Stegostoma tigrinum: one gene and its partner. The protein of the gene in region 2 purifies or fractionates together with the protein of the main gene of each other region. This does not show direct contact. Links are inferred from orthologs where the notes say so. Each region holds a gene or a part of one and is shown on either strand. Other genes may lie near its edges.

Region 1 (3,751 bases), about 130 Mb from region 2:
CTTGCAGGCTAGTGGATTAGCCATGGAAAATCCAAGACTCCAGGAAAAGAATCGGGGATGCATTTGGGTGAGGTGATCTTCATGGAGTCAGTGTGGACTCAATGGGCCAAATGGCCTGCTTCCACACTGCAGGGATTCTATGAGCCTATTTTCACCCACCATTGGGCCCCATCTCACGGGCTCATCATTGCCCATTGCTGTCACAAAGTTGCCGGAAAAGCTCAGCAGGTCTGGCAGCATCTGTGAAGCAAGAAAACAAGAGTTAACATTTCAGGTCCTCACACCCAGTTCTGAGGAAGGGTCATCGGACCTGAAACGTTAACTCTGATTTTCCCTTCACAGATGCTGTCAGACCTGCTGAGCTTCTCCAGCAACTTCTGTTTTTGTTCCTGATTAACAGCATCCGCAGTTCTTTCGGGTTTATCTGTCCCATGCTGTTTTCCCTCTATCTGGACTCTGGCTATCTTCTACACCTTCCCCTCCAGAATAGATATAAACCTTTCCATGGACTTTTGAAGGAGGGTCATGTTGAATCTCTGATACAACGAGGTGTGGGGTTGGATGGACACAGCAGGACAAGTGGCATCTTGGGAGCAGGAAAGCTGACGTTTCGGGCTGAGACCCTTCATCAGGAAAGGGGGATGGGGAAGGGTCTAGGCCCGAAATGTCAGCTTTTGTGCTCCCAAGATGCCACTTATCAGAGATAATGGGAACTGCAGATGCTGGAGAATCCGAGATAACAAAGTGTGAGGCTGGATGAACACAGCAGGCCCAGCAGCATCTCAGGAGCACAAAAGCTGACGTTTCGGGCCTAGACCCTTCATCAGAGAGAGGGGGATGGGGGGAGGGAACTGGAATAAATAGGGAGAGAGGGGGATGGGGTGAGGGCCTAGTGATGAAGGGTCTAGGCCCGAAACGTCAGCTTTTGTGCTCCTGAGATGCCACTTGTCCTGCTGTGTCCATCCAGCCCCACACCTCGTCATCTCTTGTTGAATCCCTGCTTTCTCTCTCTACACATGCTGCCAAACCTGCTGAGCTTCTTCATGTTTGTTTTAATTCACGTCCACGTGCTGGTTAACAGTGAATGCTAGTTAATGGTTAAGGTTTATGTTAGTTAGTGATTGGAGGACAATTAATAGACGCTGATCTTTACCTGGCAACCAATTGGGCGGGAGAACCAGGAGAGAACATGCCCTCTGAGCTCATTGGCTGCTCGGCATGAACGCCCCTCCGGATTGGCTGGTAGGCGGCCAATAGAAGCCCGGGGTGGCAGCGAGGCGGCCAACTGGAAGTCTGGATTGGATGCACGGCAGTTAGAGACTCCAGGATTGGCTGTTGCGGACACCCAATGGGAGACCCTAGCAGGCGGCGACCTGGCCAAAGGCCTTCGAGAACGGCCGCACGGCGGCCAATGGGAACGCGGATTACTGGCACGGCGGGCCGGATAAGAGGCGGCGTCACGTGATCGCGGGCCTCAGTCAGCGGCGGTGCGGCAGGATGGTGAGTTGGTTTGCGCGGCGGAGAGGCAGCAGCTTTGTGTGGGTGGGGAGGCCTGAGGCGACGGTCAAGCCCCACCCGGGGCCACATGGCGACGGCGAGTAGGCCTAGGGTCCGGGTCAGGCCGCGCCTGATCCGCCCCATGTGTGCGGAGGGAACTTGGAGGCCCTTTGCGAAGGAAGGGCCCGCTGGAGACAGTCCAGGGAAGTTTGAGCCGCCTCATACCAGGTTTGGAGAGATCCCGTTGTGAGGAGAGGTTGAGCCTTTACTCATTAGAGTTTGGAAGAATTAGGAGTGACTTTAGTTAAATGTACAGGATTCTTAAGGAAGTTAAACAGAAGACTGCGGATGCTGGAAATCTCAAACAAAAAATGTCTCTGGAGAATCCTAATAGGTCTCGTGGCCCCAAGCAGCATCCCACACCCCTGTAACCCGAATGTAATGGCCAGTTAACCCATCCAGACTGCCTACCGTGGGTAATTTAGCGTGGCCAGTCCACATCACCCGAGCATCATTGGACTGTAGGAGGAACCCAAAGCTGGCACTAAGCCCGGGTAATAAAATGTGAGGCTGGATGAATACAGCAGGCCCAGCAGCATCTCAGGAGCACAAAAGCTGACGTTTCGGGCCTAGACCCTTCATCAGAGAGGGGGATGGGGGGAGGGAACTGGAATAAATAGGGAGAGAGGGGGAGGCGGACCGAAGATGGAGAGTAAAGAAGATAGGTGGAGAGAGTATAGGTGGGGAGGTAGGGAGGGGATAGGTCAGTCCAGGGAAGCCCGGGTCCCTGGCACTGTGAGGGTAATCACTGAGCCGCCATGCTACACTATGCTGGCTCCAGTGACACTCCAAACAGCCCCCTCCACAGTCCGGTGATTCCTAAGCGACTTGATTGTAGAGGAATCTGCAACCGAAAGCTGTAATTTCTCAGCAACTGAAGACAAACTTTGGATTTCATTTGTCGTGAATCTGCAGTTCCCTCCTGTAGAATCTGAGCTGTTAAGGTAGTCAGAGCTGAGATTTATAACGAAGTGACTGGGGGGGAATGCAGTTATGGTGAAAATGGAGGAAAATAAGGTTCAGGATTATCGGGAGCAAATTACTGCAGATGCTGCAATCCGTACTGAAAACAATAAATGCTAAAGGCGCCATCTGACCAAGAGTCACCTACGCTTGAAGCGTTAGCTTGCCGTGATGTTTCATGGATGTTGCCTGACATGCTATGATCGCCAGTGTTATTTTTTGTTTTCAGTTCAGTATTTAGATTGGCTTGGATCTCATTCAGTGGCCTAATTCTGCTCCTGTGCCTTACAATATGGTTCAGATTATATCTCTGTGTATGTCTTCGATGGTGATGACTGTTACTGTGTCTAGCCCGCATACTTGCCTTTATTAGCCAAGGCATAGAGTAGAAGCACAACGTGGTTATAATGGAGCTGTAAATGTTAGTTAGGTCACCGCTAGGGTGCTGTGTGTTTCTGGTTGCAACATTATAGGAAGGGTGTCATTGTACTAGAGATGGTGCAAAAAGAATTCACTAGGTTGTTGCTGTGGCTGAAATGATCCAGTAATGAAGAGAGTAGTTGGCCTGGTTGCTTTCCTTAAAGCAAACTACAAATGCTCCCGTCTGAGGACAGAGGCCAGTTTTTTTTTTACTAATTCCTGCTGGGGCATTTAGCACCAGATCAGGTTCCTCCAACGCTACCTCTGATCCAGGCAGCATATAATGCACAGTAGCTCACCACCTGCGCCCAAAAGAGATTTGCTCTCCTCTTCAGACGGCAAAGGCATCGAGGCTGCATTATCTGCCGTGTCCATCTCGGATTCTGAAGTATCGTCAGTGCTTGCTGGAGAGGAATAGCCCACCAGTTCCAGAATAGTCAGAAAGGCAGTTGGGGAGCTGGGCACATTTTAATTTTGCCCTGTTTGCACGTTTGAAGTGTTCATACGGTTCTGTGCTGTACTCTTCCTGGAAGTTTGGGACAAGGTTGAAGGAACTGCACTCGATATGCATCCACAGCTTTTGTTTTATTATGCTGTTGTAAAAAGTCATGATTTAGTCTCCTAGTTACCTGAAAGGCTGAAGTCAGTAACTTGAGCAAATTGTGGAGCTGGATGAACACAGCAGGCCAAGCAGCATCAGAGGAGCAGGAAAGCTGAGGTTTTGGGGCCAGGCTCTCTTCAGAACTGGGGGAGGGGAAGGGGGTTCTGAAATAAATGGGATGAAAGGGGGAGACGGATAGAGGAAAAGATA
Region 2 (3,751 bases):
GACACACCCACTATCGGGAACATCCGCCCTGGATCTACCCTGCCCAATTTGGATAGAATTTTATTAGTCTCTTTGAGATCTCCACATCATCCATCTGGACTCTAGCGAAACAATCCCAACCTAGTCAATCTCTCCTCATATGTTAGACCCGCCATCCCTGGAATCAGTCTGGTGAACTTTTACTGCTGACAACACCTCAATCTCTCTGTATTGCAGCATTCTGCAGTCTTTCTCCACGTAAATACTCTGCTTTCTATTTTCCCAGCAAATTGGGAAACCACTTATTTTCCACGTTGTATCAGCCAATTTGTTGCCCAATTACTTAATCTATCTACATTTCTCTGCAGACTCAATGCATCCTCCTCAAAACTTGCTTGCTCATTTTTGAATTGTCAGCAAATCTGGCTTCAACACACTCGATCCTTTCATTCAAATCACTGATGTATGTTGCAAACAGATAAGGTTTCAGTCCTGAGCCCCGCGGCACTCCACAACGTAACTGAAACTGACCTATTTAATCACTTTCTCTTTCCTAAAAGTTAGCTCATCCTCTGTCAGCATGGACCAGTTGGGCCGAAGGGCCTGTTTCCGTGCTGTACATGTCTATGGCTCTAAAACTCAGTCAGAACAGGATTTAACTGACAGCAACGATCAGACATAAGTAACAAATAAAGCACACCTCAGAATTACCATCTCCGATTCGGTACCTTGGGCGGGGGGTGAGGAAAAAAACGCAAGTAGCATATTCGAGCTCAAATTTTTCAGCCAAATCTCGAATGTTCCCGCCGCAGTACGTCATCAAACCGCGACACAATTACCCGAGCTCCAATAAACAAAGTGAAAATGGTGCGAGCAAAAACTGGTCATGTTTGCTGTTAATGTTATAGCGAGTAGATGGGGGAAGAAAAAAATAACAATTCAATCCAAATAAATAAAAGATAGCAAAAACAAAAGCTCACAGTCGGAATTTGGAGAAATTGGATCATAAGGTACTTGCTTTCTTTTTTCTGTATTTGAATTGATATGAACGGTGCAGCATATGATATTTATTTAGTTTGATACACGGTGTTGCTGCTGAGTACTCTGAGGTTTGGAACGTTGTGCAGGTGGCCAGAATGTGGCTCCTTCCGGGTCTGGGCGCTGCTCGCATTTTAATGCCATAAAGTCAGGGATAGCATCGGTAGGCTGCACTCACTCTCGTTCACACGCACTTCTCTCGGGGGGTTTAAACACGCAGAGGGTAAGTAGCAACATCTTTACACGCATTTGACCTAGTGGGGTTCGCAAGCGTGTGTGCAAAATGAACATCCTACCCCTTTGGATGATAACTGCTTATATTCCACTCACATGAGCCATAGACTGTTATCATCAAGCACCCTATTTACTCCAGACCCACTTTCCGGCGCTTAGTCTGTATCTTTGTATGTAATTAGCGATTCATGTGATCATCCAAATGCTGTTTAAATGTTGAAAAGGTCCCATTTCTACCACTCTTTGATGTGATGAATTCCCGATATCCATTACCAAGTCTTTAGATGCCCTCTGAACCTCATGCTGCTCACTTCAAATGCATGCCCTATGTAGTTGATCCATCTACTAAGAGGGTAGGTTTCTTCCTGTCTAGCCTATTTACGCCCTTCCTTTTTGTACTCCTTCAGTCCTTTCTGCTCAAAGGAAAACAATCCCAGCTTGTCCACTTTTTCTTCTTACCAGAAATGCCCCAGCACAAGCAACACTCTTGAATTTCCTCTGCACCCTCTGAAGAGGATTCAAATCCCCTTGTATTCAATGTTTTGATTAATACACGCAAGCATCCCATACACCTTCTTGCCTGCCCTAATGCCTTTCTGAATCTGTAGACCCTTCATAGGGTCCTAGCTTTTCACATTTACTGCTTTGCCCTTGTCAGTATTTCAAAATGCATAATTTCACACTTTTCAGGATTAAATTTCATTTACCATTATTCTGCCCATCTGACCAACCTATTTATAACATCCTGTAATCCAGTTGTCTTCCTCACTATTTAGCGCAACATCAATAGTGTCACCTACGGACTTACTGATGAAACCTTTTAGATTCATATCTTGACAATTAATGTACAACACACACAGCAAGAGGCCCAGCACTGAACCCTTTGGTATGCTGCTGGACATAACCTTCCAGTCACAAAAACAACCTTCAACTACTATGGTCTGTCTCCTGCTTCTAAACCAGTTTTAAATCTGATTTGATAATATATCATTAGTTATTTTGAATTTTCAGCATGGTTTTTTTTTGAGCCCAAATTGTGGCCTTTATTCATTTTTCTCTTGCCACTTTTAGCCTCTGTTTACATGACTAAATTCAAATGGTTTCAGTTTTAACACTGATATATTTCTGGTCTTTTGGGTAGCTGGGATATGATGACATCCTTCCAGGTTGAATTATTGATTCCTGTTCATTACTTAAATTAGAAACTATCATCCAGTGATTAGTGACCAAATTGAACTTTTTGCACCTATGTTGATACCAATAAAAAATGGCCTGTTTTCCAGTAGTTTGATTGAAGGAGAACTGTTGGTTTTCAGAATGAAGGAGGACTTTGAAAAATACCATGAGATCTCGTATGTCCACCTGAGGGGGCAGGTTGAGCCCCTTTTAATGACACCTTCCATGTAATCTGTCTTTAATTATTGGTGTAGATTTTGCTGTTCTGTTCTGTGGAGCAAAGGTTTTAACCCACAACCTCCTGACATGAAGGTGAGAGACCTATCACTGGTTAAGACTGAGATGATGCCACTGTACGTTGTTAAACCAGCTTACCAAAAGTTAAGGACAAAACTGATTGCGAGTATTGATAGGAACGTGCACTAACAATCAGCTGTTCCACCCAGCCACCAAAAGTATAGTTGTCGGTATCATAGCCAATATCTGATACGTGTGGTTGTAAAACAACAATTTCTGCTGTCACCTGTTGGGCAGACTCAGTTTTTGTGTGTGTATACAATCATGAACACTTTTAAGAGAACAGCAACTAATGCTTTAAAGATAGTAGGAACTGCAGGTGCTGGAGAATCTGAGATAACAAGGTGTAGAGCTGGAGGAACACAGCAGGCCAAGCAGCATCAGAGGAGCAGGAAGGCTGACGTTTCGGGCCTAGGCCCTCCTTCAGAAATGGGGGAGGGGAAGGGGGTTCTGAAATAAATAGGGGGAGGGGGCGCCTCCCCCTCTCTCCCCATTTTTATCTCTATCAATTTGATAACATCACATCTCCTTCTTACGGCAGGGAGAGTTTAAGATTTGACAGATGTGTTCAAAATCATGAATTGCTTTGATAGTGTGACCAATGAGAAACTGTTGTGAATGGCAAAGGGTCTGTAACCAGACAGCACAGATTTAAGACGAATGACAAATGAGCTAGAGGCAAAGTGAGGGAGCATTTTTACACAGCTAGTTGTGATCTGCAATGTCTGAAAAGATAGATACGTAGTAACATTCAAAAGAAATTCGAAATAAATGTTTGAAACAAAAAGTATTAACAGAACTGTTGCGGAAGAGTAGCAAGTGAAATTGATTAGCTCTTATGTAAGCACAATGGGCTGAACAGCCTGTTGTGCTGCAACTTGAGTTTAAGTAGAAGTTGTGAACTTGTAGCATTGATTTACAGCATAGTGAAGTCTTCTTTGTTAGAAATCATAGAATGAGAAGGGTATCTGGAAGACAGGATTTGATATAATGTCTTATTTTCTTTTTTATTACCATCTGCTCCATC

What was found. Proteins that work in one complex are often made in the same cells at the same time.
Region 1: the proteins of larp7 (region 2) and nop56 purify together in Homo sapiens (affinity purification with mass spectrometry; 3 studies listed by BioGRID and IntAct, with this or other methods). This does not show direct contact. The link is inferred for Stegostoma tigrinum from reciprocal best matches to the Homo sapiens genes LARP7 and NOP56.

The regions. Positions count from the first base shown.
Region 1 is NC_081354.1:189,150,498-189,154,248, reverse strand, and holds the start of nop56 (nucleolar protein 56), read left to right. Parts: upstream 1-1,394; 5' UTR 1,395-1,497; coding exon 1,498-1,500; intron 1,501-3,751. UniProt on the Homo sapiens protein: Involved in the early to middle stages of 60S ribosomal subunit biogenesis. Required for the biogenesis of box C/D snoRNAs such U3, U8 and U14 snoRNAs. Part of the small subunit (SSU) processome, first precursor of the small eukaryotic ribosomal subunit.
Region 2 is NC_081354.1:63,790,752-63,794,502, forward strand, and holds the start of larp7 (la-related protein 7), read left to right. Parts: upstream 1-813; 5' UTR 814-989; intron 990-3,751. UniProt on the Homo sapiens protein: RNA-binding protein that specifically binds distinct small nuclear RNA (snRNAs) and regulates their processing and function.